Oreochromis niloticus: one gene and its partner. The protein of the gene in region 1 purifies or fractionates together with the protein of each later gene. This does not show direct contact. Links are inferred from orthologs where the notes say so. Each region holds a gene or a part of one and is shown on either strand. Other genes may lie near its edges.

The links. Proteins that work in one complex are often made in the same cells at the same time.
Region 2: the proteins of sbf1 (region 1) and mtmr1a purify together in Homo sapiens (affinity purification with mass spectrometry; 4 studies listed by BioGRID and IntAct, with this or other methods). This does not show direct contact. The link is inferred for Oreochromis niloticus from reciprocal best matches to the Homo sapiens genes SBF1 and MTMR1.

The regions. Positions count from the first base shown.
Region 1 is NC_031981.2:37,924,700-37,934,446, reverse strand, and holds the start of sbf1 (myotubularin-related protein 5), read right to left. Parts: upstream 4,357-9,747; 5' UTR 4,139-4,356; coding exon 4,084-4,138; intron 1-4,083. UniProt on the Homo sapiens protein: Acts as an adapter for the phosphatase MTMR2 to regulate MTMR2 catalytic activity and subcellular location. Promotes the exchange of GDP to GTP, converting inactive GDP-bound Rab proteins into their active GTP-bound form.
Region 2 is NC_031967.2:2,851,851-2,861,816, forward strand, and holds the start of mtmr1a (myotubularin-related protein 1a), read left to right. Parts: upstream 1-5,860; 5' UTR 5,861-6,168; coding exon 6,169-6,275; intron 6,276-7,846; coding exon 7,847-7,952; intron 7,953-8,047; coding exon 8,048-8,071; intron 8,072-9,189; coding exon 9,190-9,213; intron 9,214-9,966. UniProt on the Homo sapiens protein: Lipid phosphatase that specifically dephosphorylates the D-3 position of phosphatidylinositol 3-phosphate, generating phosphatidylinositol. Could also dephosphorylate phosphatidylinositol 3,5-bisphosphate to produce phosphatidylinositol 5-phosphate.

The sequences.
Region 1 (9,747 bases):
TTGCAATACTTGCAAAGTAGATATTTCATTTCAGGGAGGAAACACTACGAATATGCAAAAGCATTTGCTCACAAAACACGCGATGACCTTAAATGAATGTCATGTTTTTAATTCCGCTCTGGACTCGTGAATCTCAACCCAGCAGCAGCGGTAACGTTTGCACGTCCTCTCCCGTTAATACAGCAGGTAAATAATCAGCTAACAGTGCATATTATGTTAGCGCGATCTGCCTTATTACAAAACCTGCCATTACTGTGCATTTAGGCGACCATGATGAGAGAGACAGAGTCTGGCTGGCAGTTCTCGCTGCAGTCTACCGGTAGCGTCTCCTTTCAGGCCAGGATAGACGAATGTCACCGAGCAGTGACTAAGTTTGTGGTCAAAGGCTTGCACCCATTTGCCACAGCAGATGCCCCCGATTTTCGGTAAGTGAATGTGTTTAATTGTAGGCAGGGACATTACTGGATATTCTTGTGTAATTGCTACAGAATAATTTGTTATACTTTGTTATTGCTACAGAAGAATATTTATTTTATTATTTTACATCATCTGATGATGATGCTTGAGATGGGGAGGAAGACGATTATGACATTTTGTTGGTTTTTGCTTCTTTGGTGAAGACGCCTTCTCAGATGACAAAACACCAGGTCTGATTATTCACATGTTGAATCTGAATGCAAAATTTGCCTCCACAGCACAAGAACATGTTCTGTTCCCTTCTGCCTTTAGCTCCAGCCACCACACGAGGAGGTGGAACGGTGACATCTATCTCGGCCACTGTATTCACGATGCTGGGACAATATGGCGCCTTCCACAAACCGCTGCTCACTTCTATTTATTTTTAATGTACCAACTCCAAGTTTATAAGAATACATCAGGTGTTCCAAGATGTAATAAATGTATATTTATGAGTACAATATTCCTTTTTCTGTCAAATAACCTCAAAAAACAACTGACTGCACCTTTAAATGCTTTGCAGACATTCATATAAAAATCAGATATGACTATAAAGCAGTGCTGCCGAGTGATTTCTAAAATACATCCGGATTGTGTGTGAACAGTTTAAATGCTCTATCAAAAATCTGCAACAACACTTCACATCGAGTATCATCACACGGCCATGAAGTCTCGGAGAGACGCTGTATACACGTGGTGTGTGAAGAGGAAGTGATACAAGCTCTGTCACAGCTCTGCTACCAATAAGATTCACAAGCTTTAGCGCTGAAACCAAAACACAGTTTTGTTCTTTCTTTACAGAAATTGTTTTCTACGCGTAATCACATACTGGAAATAGTTTCAAAATTACACTCTAAATCACTGATGTGAAGTTCAGCGTTGCTACAGCTAAATAATGCATCAGTCTCAGTCATTTGTTCAAGTCTGAGTCGTGGCAACAAAAGTGGTGCCAGAGGTGAAATATGAAACTTTAAACCCAATCTCCACCACAATCACTGCTACAAACCTGTCCAGTCAAGAGTCACGGTGCACTGATTGATGCCACTGACGTCCTGTTAGCAGTGTCACAACTCTACAATGACGGTCAGACTGTATGACAGTGACAGAGACACCATGACACACACAAGCCCGGATTCATGCTCGGTTATCCCCTCTGTGCCCCTCTCCGTGTCCTCCTTTCTTGACTGCAAGCTGTGGAGATGTTTTTGTGCGTAAAAGGAGGCTGGCTGCCAGAGCTGTCACTCCAGCCTCCAAACAGCCATCCTACATTCTGTTTAGGGCCGCCACAATGACCAACACCCTCAAACTGAGTGCCAAAGGCGCACAGACAAACTACAATAGAGCCTGTGTGTTTGTGAGTCTTGAATGAGACCAACTCACAGAGGCTCAAACCAAACACGCCTCTTTCCTGGTTTTCAGACACGCACTGGGGGACAATATGGATTCTCACTCTAAACATAAGTCTCTCTCGGGACTTCTTCGCCTGAACTTCCTGTTTGGTCCTCAGACTGTGAATCCAATTGGTCACCAACTCGGCACACCGCTGTCAAAACACTGTGACATGCTGAGTTTTTCAAGAGACCCTCTCTAGGACAACCACACCTGCGACAACTGCAAACTCTTCCCAAGCCGCAGGCAGCCATCTTGGCTCTAAGTAAGGCTCGACGGATTGTCTAAGGCGGCATCTTAGCTGAGCAGAACAGTTCCCAGATAAACAGAGGGATGAAGGTTCAGGTTTTTCCCTCTGGGTTCGCATCCGTTTAAAAGTCAGCAAAGGGACACAAAAAAATCTGACAGATGGACGTCGTGTTTGTAAACACCCACATGGTTCCTCTAAGAGGCAGATGAGCAGTGATGATGTCAGCCCCACAACCTGTCAGTGCCCACGCTTGCAAAACATTCCACTAACTGAGTGACAAGCAGCAACCACCCAACTAACACAAGCACACACACACGCACACACGTAGACAGGATGCATGAAATATTTAGCCACGGGAGGAAACGCCACTGTACTGCAGAATTCCTGGTATTCTTATACTCGAGGACCTTTCAATGTTGATGCGAAGCCAAGTCTTTTCATTACAATCAGTTAGTGCCAGCACACTGTAGTTGGAGCATTGGTAGAAAGCAAAGTAATACTGCATAAATACATGTAAAGTCAGAAATCTCCAAATAAACAACAGTGGAAGCTTTGCATTTGGAACCAGGTGAAACTAGAAGAAGATGGGCCCACCGAGCACGTGGATGAAGGCGAAAACCGTCCTTGTTGCAAACGGGGACGTTTACCACAACAACAACGCCTTCAGCCTGAAACCTAGCAGGGACTGAAGGTGCTCTAGAAAGGCAACATTAGTGTAGCCACACCAAAAATCATCATCACCCTCAAAGTGTTTGGTTTTTATGAGGCACGGAGCGTTTGATCCATTAAGCCACCGTGGCTTTAATGTCTGCTTCCCAGATGCTTTTTACTGGCATGTTCTGCTCTGCAATGCATTCAGGCACTGTAGCACAGGAAGGGGAGTTTCTGCAGCGCTTGCAGCGTCCACGTTATAACATCCTGTATTCCCCCCCTTCTGGAAGAAAAATACAAGATGCAATAAATGTATTCATGTGTCAGAAAAGGGGATGTAGGCCACCCCAGCATCACGATAAAAGCCAGTCCAGAGCCTGCTTTTAGCCACACGGGCCTCGTCATGTTACAATTTGCCTCTTCTGAATAAATCATAAGCAAAAGAAAAAAAATCACTCTAAATAAAAGACAACCACGTTACAAGTTGCATGCTTCCGTTGGATAGGCGAGCTGAATATTTCATGATTAAACGGGCCATTATACTGCACAGATCTAGGCCAAGGCTCAGGCTGAAGGGGGGGGCTCAGATAACGGTCCTAACCCCGTCCCAGCAACGCAAGGGAACACAGCTCCGGTCCGAGGGGGCTCAAGGGAGGGGCAAAGCCATCTAGGTTAATCCAGACAAAACACACACAAAGAAAACAATAAGCAATTGCGGCAAGGAGAAGCATCGATTTGTACTATTAAAGTGATTAGATCAAGTCCAGGTGGACATCAACGCAGCGTGGCTATTCAGGACCCTGCAGCCACAACAACACTGACTGTCGCTGTCACATCCTGTGGTAAGCTACCCCTGAAAAAAATTCATTTTTCCCAAAACGCCACTTCTAAGGCTTGCAAATGAGAGAGAGCGGGCAAAATGCGGGTGAATAAATCCGTCTTAGGTCTCAGCCGAGCAAACTGAAAGCCCCCTCAACTCTAGTCCTTCTAACGTTAGCTTTTAGCAAATGAAGTTAGCCCAAGTTTTCTGTCAACGGAGTGAGGCAGTTTGTTTTCCCGAAGCTAAAACGCCATTGGAAGTTGGCGGTTGTAAGCAGCTTCTTCTACAGTCACAAATGTGACACACCGGCTGACAGCCTCGCATTCAACTACACTAATCCCGTGAGGCCTGCGCACCCCGGTCTAAAGTTGAGGGCTAGCAGCCAACTGACAGCGCCCAAGTCGGTTAGTTGTGAACGGCGGCCTGGCCCGTCCCCGCCTCCCTCCCCTCCTCTTGTTTGCCCACAGCTAATAATACGCCGTTAAAGCTAGCAGGGCTGGCTAACTCAAACACCCACCTCGCTTCTCGAGGTCGTAACCGACCACAACAAAGTAGTCGGCGAGCCTGGCCATCTTGGAGGCTCACGGTGACAGGCCTTTCGCGCTAAATCCTCTGCTCTTTGTGCCGTCAATAGTCCATTTACATCCTGGCGGCAGCAGACACATCACGGGCGACAGTAGCATCCTTCCAGCTGCACCCCGCCGCCATACTGTCAGTCTGCCTTGCCCTGACAGCGGAGAGCCGCGAGTCTGCGCACTGAGAGACTTCCAGGGAGGGGCTGCTCGACAGGAATGTCCCATGTGGGGAGCCAAACCAGCTCAGGGGCCAAAAGTCTGACCAAAACCTATAATAAACTCAAAGAAGTTTCGACAATGCCGGCGCTAAAGGGGTGAAAGGTGGCGACGGATTTTCAGTGCCCTGAAATAAAGAGGACCCACAAAAATGTAGTGGAGCTGCCTTTCCTGAAGCGAACAGCCAAACGCAGTCCTCCTTAAGGGAAGCCCAAACATTTCAACCAAGACGCACATTCACCACAGAAGCTAGGAAGAGAGGTTCTGCTACTTTTTAAAAATTATTTATTTATTTATTTTTAACTGAGTTTTTTATGTTCAGTGGATTTTTGAAAAAGTGATTAGAGGGGCACACTCTGAGATAAGAGCAGGTGCGATATTATACAAAAATGCCATTTTTATTGATTAGTCAGTAATGAAAACAATTGTTGGTTCACATGAGTGAGGTTCACTTCTCCTGCGACAAAGTGAATAAATACATTAATACTGTGGCAGATAGTTTTTCATCCTCCATCTTCAGATCCTAACATTACAGGTGCAGGCTACTGGAGCACCTCAAACTGTTCCTTAGCTTGACCATGCAGACATTACAGAGATGTCGTATGCAAAGATTAGGTTAGCGCAAACATAATGACACGTGTGATGAACACACACGTTTGAAATGAAAAGCAGGCACCCTCGTTTTGAAAATGATCGGCCTGAATGTGTGAGCGTACTGTCAAAATGATTGTCTTCCAGACCCATCAACATTTCCTGTTTGTGTTTCGTCTGAATTGTCGTCAGTCAAGGAGAAAAAAAGAGGAAATTTCACCTTAAAAAGACAACAACTTTGTCTGTTTTACTCATGTTTCATCATGCTGAAAATTAACCCTTAAAGTAATGACAAGAGGTTGGAGCTCGTCTCAAAATCGATTTCTGTGGATCATTCCAAAGGACCCCCCCCCCACACACACACACACACACACTTTGTTCTTCTGTGTTATGAATGCAACAGCAAATAATATTTGGGTTATTTTTTCCCCACATCAGTCTTAACAGCTGCGACTTCCTCTTTTCTGGCTCACTATCACCTCCACCAAGTGCAGAATGCAGCAGTGAAGCTTCTTAGTGGTTTAGGCACATAGCATGACATCACCACAGCCTGGGCCTCTCTCCATTTGTGCAGTGTTTGTTTCACAGTACTCACTTTTAAAGCACTTTCTGGTTTGTAATCAGGCTACGTATCACACGTCAGTCTGTCACTTTTCCTCCAAATAACATTTTATGATGGGAAAAAAAATCATATGGGAGCACAGCCTCACCTGGCAGGATGATATTCCCAAACTGCAAAAACTGCTCAGGAACAGCCCAGTTATCATGACAGAAATCATCGGTCACACTGGCTCCAAATTCCTCAGATTCCAGTCCACGCTGTGCACTGGAACAAGCCGGTGGCGCCTGCAATCCCAGACGACCCTGCACATCCTCGGAGGTCCCATGTTCAGGCCCCGATGGCTCAGAAGGGATCTAAATAATACTAGACAGCCGGTTTTACAGTCATTGCTATTTGGCGCACTACTTTTACTGACTTTTACATTTTTTCTTTTAATTTGATCTGAAATAATCTTCTGGGGGTTTCTTTGTTTTATATGAGTACCCTGCTTCTGCCTGTACAAAGCCAATGTTTGACATGAAAACATTCAATGTTGTGTTACAATAATGTATTTAGCACATAGCTCCACTTTCAGTAGGCTGAGAATTCATATTTCAAAGGAATGTTATGGGAACAATTTAGCGGCACAAATTAGGCCCAAATTACCATTCAGTCATTAATTAGCTGCTCCGTGTGAGCAGAGGTCCACACCCTCAGCCTCAGTGCCAAACCATACAAAGATGTTGTCAGATTTGCCAAAATGTTTGTGGCGCATTATTCCAAGTTTGTGTAGCCAAAACATTCCCCCAACCCCACCGTCTCTCATCACGGCTCGGATCCACCACGCTGATTGAGGCTACAAAGGAGGGTGGCTCCAGACTGCAGTGTCAGTTTCAATGATGCAGTAGTATGTAAGGAAGGCCTAATAGCCCACATCCATATGGCCTGTCCTTGCTGTCAGCACCGTAACAGCCTTGAGAGACTCCCGGCACTTCCTGTACTTTCACCTTTGACCTAAAGCTCCTATCACTCTCTGGTCGCAAGCTATCGTGTTCATGGGATGTCGTGTTTTTTTGTTAAGAGCATTGTTTTCCCGAAACTCGGTAAAAACTTGGCTCTTCTCCTTTCTCACAGAGTTATCTGTGACCCGGGGCTGGGCACAATGACAATAGGCCTCCTCTTTGATAAGAGTGGCTTTTGACAACCAAACCTATGTTAGGAGAAGATAACATGTAACTAAGGTCACTGCTCTGGTACTAATTCTTGCTGCTGATATTAATTTTGTTTTAACTTTGAAGCATGCTTGGTAGGTTGCCAGAGAAATGACAGCGGCGCAGTGCTTACAAAGATGGGAGGACAAGAGCAGCTCCATTGCTCTAACCCTTCAGATTAAGCAATGCACATTACTGAAACAAGCATGAACTCTGCAAATCTCCAAATTATTAGTTACTAGTACTATGGCCTTTGACTTTAACATGCCGAGTGTCTAAGTGCTCTTAGCTGGAAATGCTGTTGTTCCTCTTTCGTTATCAAGATGCTGAAGCTATAAACAGCAGGTTAGATTAGCAAAAGTAAATAAAGATAATCAATCTGTTACTGAGCTGAATGGAGTTGCATTGGTACTCGTGGCACCGTTAACTTGAACATCAGTGAAAAGATCAGTAATGCTGAAACATATAAAACCAAATCCTTATTTTGTTGTTGCACTGTGAATCAGAAACATATGAAAGAGCCCAACATGGGCAGGTTTTTCCTTTGGTCTCCTTGGTTACCAGATGCTAACAAAACCAGAACAGGAGCTGCCATGCAGTGATGGGTATCTCCCTTTCATCATTTTCATGCGGTTTTGGCGCCTTTATCAATTGAATTCAGGCCTCAAGTGACTTGAATATCATTGCATTCTATTAATTTGACATTTAATGCAACATCTTAATACATTTGTGTGTAAAAATGAAGAATCTGGATTTGCATGAATTAAATTAAATCATATAAGTCAAGCCAGATTTGTGCATCGTAACTTAGTAGTTGTTTTTCTTTCAGCATATATAAGATAGCCCTGTGCAAGTAAAGATTACACATCACAGCTTTGCTCATTTACTATATTCAGCCATCATCTCTCTCTTTGTGTGCACATTTTATTTCTAGGAATAAAGAAGAAGTGAGCCGGCGATATGCCTGTCCCATCACTGATTCTCTGCTCTTCTTCACACACACAGCACAATTAGAGCGCAAAGCAGGTCTGTGCAGCATGCAACAATCATGTGACTTCCTGTAGACTAACCAACAGACAGGAAGTGGTTTGAAGGCCTCATGCACATCATTGCTCTTCACGGGGCTATTCCAGCAGCTGACTTCCCCTCAGCTCAGGTGAAGCATAGCATATGAAAATGCTTCACTGAGCAGGTGCTGAACTCTTTAGTTGAATTCTAATGAGGGATGTTTTAGTATGACACTGTTACAGTTCCAGTGAATGTTAAATCCAGCACACACACACACACACACACACACACACACACACACACACACACACACACACACACACACACACACAGTCTCATGTCTGTCACTGCTGTAATTTGAGCTCTGCATACACAAAGGTAATGTGGCAAAATATTGTATGTACACTAAACTGCTGCTTGCTCAGTTGTAACTAAGTGTTTTTACCCATAACATCGAGGATGAACGACTATAAACAGGAAAAATATTCCATGCATTTACTACAGTAGGTATTAAATGGACTGGATCTTATACAGTGCTTATGTTCTCTGCTTGAGCACTCAAAGCCTTTTCTACAACATGCCTCATTCACCCACTCACACCCTTTCATACAAACACTCTTTCTGTATGGTTTTTCTCCTCAGGTGTGTCCCGTGAATCATTCCAGGGAAATCCAGGTTGTGAAGGGCCAGTCCACTTTTTTTTAATTTGATAATCTGGGACTTTGACTCAACAGATGAAAAACAAACAAACAAAAAGTTCATAACTGAATAATTAGAGACTTGGACACACACATCCTAAAGACTTTAACTCCAGAGATCTTACAAAGGGCCATGAAAGTGATCGTCATGAAACCCGCTCTGTAATTCTCATTCTTCTGAACTCAGTGATGTGTCGTCTCAGAATATAGTTTATGATTATTCACAAATATGTTTTAAACGAAAACATCCTTACTCTTTAAGGTTGTTACTTTTTAAGCAACCACATGTATCAGATGAGATGGGCCTCATCATCCTGATAACACAGACACTAAAACTCATTGTCATCAAGCTGTGTCATAGTAAAACTTTTATAGCTGTTCTCCATAAAACTGTAAGATAACTCGATATAAAAATGTCTGAGTGCCCTTTGCAGTGAACATTAAATCGAATAAACTAGCAGGAATTATGTTTTAGGTTTGCCTAATTTGTCATTTTTGCTGTACAATCCCCACAGTGGCATCACAATTTGATTACAGAATAATAGCACATCAGTACATGGAGTCACTAGCTTTATATGTGACATTATTTTATAAGTAGAATCATTTACTGACCGATCATGAGAGAAGGAAGACATTTAGCCACTTTAAGCTAGTGGTCATCACAGGTAGGTTTTTACTCCTCGGTCGAGGATGTTTGCTGCATTTCACCATTCAGACGTTACACAGCCGCTGCTAATGTGTGCCATCATAAACCCATCAATTCTAATCACGCTTGCTAACCTGGGCCCTGACTGATCCCGTCTCATACAGTTAACATTCATCAGGATCTGATGAATGAAGAAAACAAAAGAGCGAGGAAGGTTAGTGAATAAGAAAGTTTAGAGGATTAGTAAGGATGAAGGACGAACGCAGCTATGAAGACGAAAGGCAGGTGGACAGATGACGTACCTGTGGAGGCATGGAGATGTCTAGAAGAAAGGGCAGTTTTTTAATGTTTATTTATAAGATTTAAAGTTCAAAATTACATAAAATCACACAAGACAAAGGAAAGAAATTCAAAAACAACATCCAAGCACATACAAACCCCACACAGCTTAGTCAGTCCACATCAAAAGTACAGGAGAAATGCTGGAGTCTGAAGAAGATGACCTGCTGTGTGAAGTTAGAGAGTTCACAGAGTCCAGAAGAGGCGGGGAACAAGTCCAGGAAGAAGTCAGGGTCCAGCAGAGGTGTGGTTTTACATAAACACCAAGTGCAGTCAAATTATGTTAATATGATCTCAGCAAATTTAAAGTGAGGGTCATAATGAACCTCTTCAATATACAAACATGCCAAACATGG
Region 2 (9,966 bases), on another chromosome or scaffold:
AAAAGAGCAATACATGAAGATTCTCAACAACAACATGAACGTTTTGCAGCGGCCCAGCCAGAGTCCTGACTGGAATCCAATTGAGAATCTGTGGAGGGAGCTAAAGATGAGGGTGATGGTAAGAAGACCCTCAAATCTGAAAGATTTGGAGCACATTGCTAAAGATGAATGGGCAAAAATACCTGTGCAGACAAACTGGTCTGCAATTATAGGAAGCGTTTGATTGCTATTATAGCCAATTAAAGCTTTTCTATTGATTATTGAGAAGGGTGTGAATTATTTTGGACATGATACTTTTTGCTCAAATTTAAATAAAAGCTGAGATATTTTTTTTTCCCCACAATGATGCCTCTTGTACATCAGTGTCTCCCAAAAGATAAGACTATGTCATTTCCAGTTAGGAAAAAAAAAAACTTGGTGGTTGGATAAAAGTAACTCAAAATTTGCCAGGGGTATAAATAATTATGGGCTTGACTGTACAAATTACTCTTCAGTGTCTCTGCAATGTGACATAAAGATCAAAAAGAAATAACAGTTCAGCAAAGCATTGCACAATGTTAATGTAACATGAATATTTCAAAAAGAAAGTTGCATACTGGAGGAAACACTGCCCCCTACACGACTGTCAGTCAGAATAACAACACAGCAGGCTCTCTGACTGACTGTGCACCGAGGCAGCCCTGATGGGAAGGTCAGTGGTCTGTTTTATAGCGCTCCTCTACTCTCAGCACTCATAGCGCTTTACACAACCTGCCTCATCTATCTGACGTTCACACTTTGATGGATGCAGCAGAGAGCAACGTGAGGTTAGTGTCTTGCTCAAGGATGGCATGCAGATTACACCTGCCAGAGATTGAACCACCAACCTTCTAGTTAGTAGGTGACCTGCTCTACAGCCACTCCAAATATAATGTATTTAGCAGCTTGATGATGGCTGATGGATAAAAATCAGAGTGAGTGGAGGAAGTCTTTGTGGGAGTCTACAAAGACTCTACATTTTCTACAGATACTCTGTAAAACATTGGAGTGTCACCTCTCTGGTGAGAAAGGAGCCTGAGTTAGTGCGTGAGATTGAGAGGTACTGATTACATATGTCGGGCTCACCTCAACGTATAGCTTGGGCTCCAGAACCAGTCTCCTGGAGAGGGGCTGGACTTGCTGTTGGTGAGAGGTGGCGGGCTCGGGTGGACAGTTGAGTATCCCCTCAGCTTGCTGCCTGTATGTAGAAGTTTTTCCTGGTGGACAAAATGGTTTGTTCCCTGTGCCTCCGGGTCGGGGAACAGGTCCTAACTGTTGTCTGGGCCTATGTGCCGAACAACAGTTCAGAGTACCCGGCCTTCTTGGAGTCACTGAGTGGGGTGCCGGAGAGTGCTCCGCATGGGAACTCTGTCATCTTAATGGAAGACTTCAACACTCATGTGGGCAACAACAATGAGACCCGGAGGGAGGTGATTGGAACAGTCTACCAGATCTGAACCAGAGCAGTGTTCTGTTGAGCGCACTTCTGTGTAAACCACAGTTTGTCCATAACAAATAGCATGTTCGAACATATTCAATTCAATTCAATTCAATTCAATTTTATTTATATAGCGCCAAATCACAACAAAAATCACCTCAAGGCGCTTTATATTGTACAGTATACCCTATAATAATAGAAAGGGAGAAAAACCCAACAATCACTTTGGAGCAAGCACTTTGGCGACAGTGGGAAGGTAAAACTCCCTTTTAACAGGAAGAAACCACCGGCAGAACCAGGCTCAGGGAGGGGCGGGGCCATCTGCTGCGGGAAAGTTTGAAGCCTAATCTTAAAAGTAGAGATAGTGTCTGTCTCCTGAATCCAAACTGGAAGCTGGTTCCACAGAAGAGGGGCCTGAAAACTGAAGGCTCTGCCTCCCATTCTACTTTTAAATACTCTAGGAACAACAAGTAGGCCTGCAGTGTGAGAGCGAAGTGCTCTAATAGGGTGATATGGTACTACAAGGTCATTAAGATAAGATGGGGCCTGATTATTTAAGACCTTGTATGTGAGGAGCAGGATTTTGAATTCTGGATTTAACAGGGAGCCAATGAAGGGAAGCCAATACTGGAGAAATCTGCTCTCTCTTTCTAGTCCCTGTCAGGACTCTTGCTGCAGCCTTTTGGATTAACTGAAGGCTTTTCAGGGAGTTTTTAGGACATCCTGATAATAATGAATTGCAGTAGTCCAGCCTGGAAGTAATAAATGCGTGAACTAGTTTTTCAGCGTCACTCTGAGACAGGATATTTCTAATTTTAGAGATGTTGCGCAAATGGAAGAAAGCAGTCTTACATATTTGTTTAATATCTGCATTGAAGGACATGTCCTGGTCAAAAATGACTCCAAGGTTCCTCACAGTGTTACTGGAGGCCAAGGTAATGCCATCCAGAGTAAGAATCTGCTTAGATACCATATTGCTAAGATTTTCAGGGCCGAGTACAATAACCTCAGTTTTATCTGAATTAAGAAGCAGAAAGTTAGCGGCCATCCAGGTCTTTATGTCTTTAAGACATTCCTGCAGTTTAACTAATTGGTGTGTGTTACCTGGCTTCATGGATAGATAGAGCTGCGTGTCATCTGCATAGCAGTGAAAATTTATGCTATGTCTTCTAATGATGCTGCCTAAGGGAAGCATGTATAATGTAAATAGAATTGGTCCTAACACTGAACCCTGTGGAACACCATAATTGACCTTAGTGTGTGAAGAGGACTCTCCATTTACTTGAACAAATTGGAGTCTATTAGATAGATATGATACAAACCACTGCAGTGCAGTACCTGTAATACCGACAGCATGTTCTAATCACTCTAATAGGATATTATGGTCAACAGTATCGAACGCTGCACTAAGGTCTAGCAGGACAAGCACAGAGATGAGTCCACTGTCAGAGGCCATAAGAAGATCATTTGTAACTTTCACTAAAGCTGTTTCTGTGCTGTGATGAGCTCTGAAACCTGACTGAAACTCTTCAAATAAGCCATTCCTCTGCAGATGATCTGTTAGCTGTTTGACAACTACTCTTTCAAGGATGTTTGATATGAAAGGAAGGTTGGAGATTGGCCTATGATTAGCTAAGACAGCTGGGTCTAGAGATGCTTTTTGAGTAAAGGTTTAACTACAGCCACCTTGAAGGCCTGTGGTACATAGCCGATTATTAGAGATAGGTTGATCATATTTAAGATTGAAGAATTAATTAATGGCAGGACTTCTTTGAGCAGTTTTGTAGGAATGGGGTCTAAAAGACACGTTGATGGTTTGGAGGAATTAATTATTGAAGTTAACTCAGAAAGATCAATTGGAGAAAAAGAGTCTAACTTAACATCGATGGTACTAAAAGTAGCTGTAGATAATATTACATCTGTGGGATGATTATTGGTAATTTTTTCTCTAATGATAAAAATTTTATTTGTGAAGAAGTTCATGAAGTCATTACTAGTTAATGTTAAAGGGATTGTTGGCTCAGTAGAGCTCTGACTGTTTGTCAGCCTGGCTACAGTGCTGAAGAGAAACCTGGGGTTGTTCTTATTTTCTTCAATCAGTGACGAATAGTAAGATGTTCTGGCTTTGCGGAGGGCTTTCTTATAAAGCAACAAACTATTTCTCCAGGCTAAATGATGATCCTCTAAATTTGTGACACGCCATTTCCTCTCCAGCTTACGAGTTATCTGCTTTAGGCTACATGTTTGAGAATTATACCACGGAGTCAGGTACTTCTGATTTGAGACCTTAGTTTTCACCGGAGCTACAGTATCCAGAGTCGTACGTAGTGAGGAGGTAAAATTATTAACAAGATGATCGACCTCTGTTGGAGTAGCATTCAGATAGCTGCTCTGCTCTATGTTGGTACAGGGCATTGAAGATGATAACAGTGGGTGGATTATATTCTTAAACTTAGTTACAGCACTTTCAGAAAGACATCTACTTTGATAAGGTCTACTCTCCACTGCTGTGTAATCAATTATTGTAAATGTTATCAGGAAATGATCAGACAGCAGAGGGTTTTCAGGAAACACTATTAAATGTTCAGTTTCTATGCCATATGTTAAAACAAGATCTAGAGTGTGATTAAAGTGGTGGGTGGGTTCTTTTACATTCTGAGAGAAGCCAATTGAGTCTAATAACAGATTAAATGCAATGTTGAGGCTGTCATTTTTAGCATCTACATGGATGTTAAAATCACCCACAATAATTATTTTATCTGAGCTGAGCAGTAAAACACACGTCATATCCTGTAGTATAGCTGATAATTTTATAAAAGCACAAAGTGGACGTAGTTTTCAAGTGTTAAAAATAGGAAAAACCAAAAGAGTATTGTCATTAATGCTCACTTCAATTCAATGTTATTTATACAGCGACAAAATACAACAGTTGCCTCAAGACGCTTTATATTGGAAGGTAAAGACTCAAGAATCATATGTCATTAAAATGTTAAAATCACCCACAATAATTATTTTATCTGAGCTGAGCACCAAATCAGATAAAAAGTCTGAGAAATCAGACAGAAACTCTGTGTAAGGCCCAGGTGGACGATAGATGGTAACAAGTAAGACTGGTTTCTGAGTTTTACAGCTGGGGTGGACGAGGCTAAGCATCAGGCTTTCAAATGAATTAAAAGTCTGTCTTGGTCTTTCGTTAATTAATAGACTGGTGTGAAAAATTGCTGCCACACCGCCCCCTCGGCCTGTGCTTCGAGGTTTCTGGTAGTTAGAATGACTCGGGGGTGTTGATTCATTCAAACTAACATAATCATCCTGCTGCAACCAGGTTTCTGTAAGGCAGAGTAAATCGATTTGTTGATCAATTATTAAGTCATGTACTAACAGAGACTTGGAGGAGAGAGACCTAATATTTAATAATCCACACTGTTTTACTCTTTGGTTCAGATGTGGAACCTGTATTGGTCGTTCTTTGTGATTTTTTATGTTTAAGTTTTTTGTTGCTGGTTTTTGGTTTGTTTTTTGTCTGTTTGGGAGCTGACACAGTCTCAATGGAGATGGGTTTTTGGGGGGGTAGCAGGAGGAGAGAAGCTGCAGAGAGGCGTGTAAGACTGCAACTCTGCTTCCTGCTTCATAGAGGTGTCCATAAGTGCATATGGCACCAGGACAGCCCAGGCCGCAGGCTGATGATTGATTTTGATTTATGATTGCAGCCATTGTTGCTGTTCCTCTGCTATTTTCTCCAGACCATGATTGTGCCTGCTAAACCTGCCAGACAGCACAGGTGTTTAAAAAAATCCAGAGATTACTAGTTACAAAAGCATGTTTTCCTCTTCCTGTAAAAAAGAAAAAAATATCATTTGATAGATTTTTCAAGTGTGGAGAAAAAGTTAAAACCAATTAATTGTCATTTCATTTATTACCCCAAAAGAAAGTAGTTCGTTTTAAGACAATTACTGATATTTATCAGGGTGATGAATTTTTCAGGTTGATGTTTAAGCTGGTTAGTAAAGCTCAGAGCTTTTGTAAAAAAGATATTGAAAGTCAAGAACAAATTTTCTTTATATATACGCTGTATGCTCTATCCTATGTTTATTATCAGTTGGCCTTGAAGAATGTAATACCTGTGTTAGAATCTTGTTGTAATATCTTTATTAAGCAGTTACCCGCGTCTCTGCCAGCAGTATGTAGAGTAAGTCCTGGTAAATTCAGACAGGTTCATTTAAGATAAAATATTTGGTTATTTGTTTATTCGTGTGTTTTTTTGTATTCTGTTATTATTTGATGAACACGTTTGATAACTACACCCTTTCGTGGCATTTTTCTCCTTTCCGTGTTGACTTCTTCTTCCTCCGCTGATGTGGCAGTTTGGTCTAAATGGCGACGCCTATCGGTCAGGACGGTGCTACAGCATCCTTAGCACTGGTAGAAGCTGTGGCGACGTCACTGCGAACAACAATGCTGCGGCTATAGATGCGACTAAGAGGAAGTGCAAACAACCAAACCAGAAGAAACCACTGCATGTGAGATCCGCTCTCGAGCCTCTGATTAGTTTCTTTACACAGTTCGGAGTCTTTAAAGAACCATTACAGCCCGCTGGGAGCGGACACTGGGATTACACCGAGCTTTAATTTCATCCGCATCCCTTGTCTGTATCAGAGGAAACCATCCATCTCCGCCCCCGGTGACCCAGAAACGAAGCAGTTGTGTGACAGATGGAGAAACAGGCCGGAGGTGCCGGCGCTGGGGACGGTGCAGGGGCGAACAGAAAGCCGTGGGGCTCGCCGACTTGCGGCGCGGCAGCCGGTGATACCCTGGACAGGTAAGCAGGCTCGCTAACGAGAAAACGTGACGCCGATGCCCAGCTTGTTACTTATGGTTGTCTCGCTTTCCCACTGTACACCAGTAACATGAAATATTAGTAGTATTTCTTCACACCTTCATCTCGGCATCGATCCACAGACCAGTGCTTGGGACAAACTTTCCAACGTGACAAAACACTCATCATGGAATGATGTAGCGTGTTACCAGTTCATTTCAGATTTGGAATGACAACATACAACACAGTAGCGATACACTAGCTGACAAAAAATAATAGGATCACGTGATTAACACAGCATATAGGAAATGCACAGGAATGGCCACGCAGCCTGCAGACACCGAGTTAAACATCCGTATCTGCCGCTCAGAGGAAGCCGCCACCTGAGGGAGATATGACATGATGTTTTTGTAGTTTGATAAAAATGTTACAATGTTGCTCCTGTTAAAACAATACCGACACTGAAACGTGGAGTTGCGTTGCGCTGGGTAGGAGCCATATTCTTTATGTATTATTTATGGTTATCATCGCCCCCCCCATTGTACTAAAACTGGAGGAAGCGTCACACAGTCGTAACTCCTCCCCCTTAACATTCCATGACATTCACACCACAAAGCTGCTCCAATCCAGACTGAGTCTGTCAGAGACACTGGTTTATCTGCTATCACTGACAAGCTTCATATGAGCTGCTTTTCCTGATATATTGTTCTTGGCTTAATATTCAGGACTGTCCAGGAGACGGGACCGTCTGTCTCCAGCACTCAGACAACCGCTGTCAAAGCCCAAAGACAGGACGTTGTACTGTCTGGCTTAGGATTGGGAGAAAAATCAATACAGCATAGTATCATCAAATTTTGCATGGAGATATTGCATCCAAAAAACAACATTTTATTAAATAAATGAAAATACTCTGTGAATACTACAAAAAAGTCTGACTTCGACTGACTGAAATCACTCGCAGAGAAATGCAGTTTATATCAGAGACAGATTGCATATAACTGGCAGCTTTACCCGGTATAGTTGCAGACTGGTACCAGTCTGATTGCAGACTCAGTCCATCAACATTTGTGGCAGCTTTTAGTGGCAGTGTTGGTTTTCTTAACAATCTCATTTGCTGTAAAAACAAACAACTGAAGTGAAGTAACTCTATTTTATTAAATAAAACAGACCTTGACAAACTTTGACTTTGAGGACATCATTTGCAGTTGAAAAAATATTAGAAAAATATTAGTTAATAATATTGTTGTTAATTACTACACAGGGTGGAACGTTCTCATATGTAACATGTAGTCAGCAGAACATCATTGTTGCTGTCAGATGATGTTTATCTGTTCAACACATTCATTTTACAGTGATGATGTTAAAAGTGGTGTGATAAAGAACTCAAAGAACTTTCTAACACAATTTATTTATTTAAAATAATGTATTCATTTATTTGTTTCTGTGCAACAAAAGGGAGAAAACTGAGCAAAAGTAAAATAAAGAACAATATCAGCCAAACTGTCATTCTGAGTATTAGTGTCAGCCTGAAATCTGGAGTTCAGCTTCAGTTCATTGTTTCACTCTGTGTTCAGTCCAACAGGTTCTCACGTAGAATGGTGTAAACAGCTAATAGCAGCCACAATCTCCAGTCAGATCTCAGGATCAGTCCAACCAGACATTGGGAGCAGGGACATCAAGGTAGACAACACACAGCACACACACACACACACACACACACACACACACACACTGCTGGCAGTGATTCTCATCAGTGTGTATTTTGTAACTAATAGGCTGGGAGAAGACCAGAGTTCATGGTAAGTCTCGGAGACTTCTCCTTGTGAGCTGCTTTGAGTGTGGGCGCCTAGTTTTGTCTGTTAAGTCAATATGAATGATTAAGTCTGTCGTCATTGTTTAGAGAAGCTACTGAGCAAGTTATCGACTGCTTCTGTCTGTCAGCGGCCTGCTCTCTGCAACCACCTCTCTGTAGCGAGGCGCATATTGGCTCATTCATATTGGTTTTTCTCTTTTAGACCTCAGATCAGTTAGAGGTGTAATGTTCTATGTATTGCACATTATATGCAATGTGCTTTGTTAACTAAACAATGCTGCTCATATAGATCTCTGGTAGTTTAGACAACCCACAGCAGGGTTTAGCTGTATTGTTTGCAAGTGTAATATATTACACTAGACCTGTAGAGAGAGACCAAACTGTGGCCCCCGGTTGTTTAACATTAGATCTTTGCAAACGCTGACAATAAAATATGATAAAGCAATTGTAAAAGTGGCACCCATCACCTTACTACATCTTCTACAGCTATTACGTTCCACCTGAGCAATAAGGCTGACAAATATTCAAAGAACTGGAGTTTTCCATCCCAAAATCCAGATTGGAACCAAACTCTGTGCTTAAAGCTGCTGAAAAGTCTGAGCTGAACAGTCTTAGTTGTGTTATTTCTTTGATAAGTTACATTTCCAGCAACTTATCACAGTTTTGATAAATGTAACCAGAGTAGCACAGACTTCACTGTCACCACTGTGGTATGTACACTGTCTGTGAGATGACAAATAGCTGCTGAATTTAAAAAGGCACCCCTCTGTGCACATCTAATGAAATGTGTGTAATGAATTCACCTCCACTGTGTCAGATCAAACCCTCCACCTCTGATTTAAGGCTCACTTCATTAGAACAAAGTTAGAAGCGCAGCTTTCCTGCAGCTTGTCTAAACTTGTATCGGCTGTTTGTCACTTGTTGTCTTTGCTTGAATTTTGAACCTCATTGTTTGGAGGTTGCTTTTGTGCGCTTGTCTATTTGCATCCTTCTGTTATAAACACAGACTGATGTGCCACACATTAAAGATAACCTTTGGGTTGAAACCAGAGTGTCACCTTAGTGCTTTCCATTTCATGTCCATGTGGTGTGTTTAACCTCCAGGTGTCCAAGAGGCTGAATCGCAGGGTAAGAGTTGTTGTCCTTTCAACACATTTACAACACAAGCGCACTGCACACACACAGGAGTTTTGTAGCGTGGGATAAAACAACAGCTGCCTCTTGACTGTGATTCTTCAGCAGTAGCATTGTGATACAGCAAGTGTTCAAATTAGACGAATAACTGTAACGGTGTTAGGACGTGCGCTGAATAAATATTGTATGTGATGCAAATTTGAGCAGTTTGCTACTGTGTGACAGTGTGTAACCAAATCAGCCTCCTGCTGCAGACGGACCAGAGCTGCTACTCCTCCCTGCTCAGTGTACTTCCTCCTTCCTGTTTTATCCCTCTGTGCCTTTCTTCAGCTTTCTTTTTTCTTTCTTAATTAAGTATGAAACTGACTCCATTATAATAGAGCAAAAACCAACCAGACAAACTGTAGTGCCTCAACAAGAAAATCAAATTAAAGAGGGGATTTTTTTTTTTTTTTGAGTGGACTCGCTGCAAATCAATTTCCCATTGGAGACATTAAAGTTAGCAAACAGTGTTTGCATGTGAAGGCCATCGCGGTGGTGGGAGCATCAAGCTGTGGGAATAATTCACTGTTTGACTGGGAATCATGCCAATGGGTGGAAGGAATCATGACTGGATCTGTGAAGCTCCTGAGCAAACCTAGGTCTGGATTGTTATAATAATAATAATACATTTTATTTATAGGCGCCTTTAAGAGCCTCAAGGTCACCTTACAATAGCACAAGAACAATAGCAACAATACAATATAA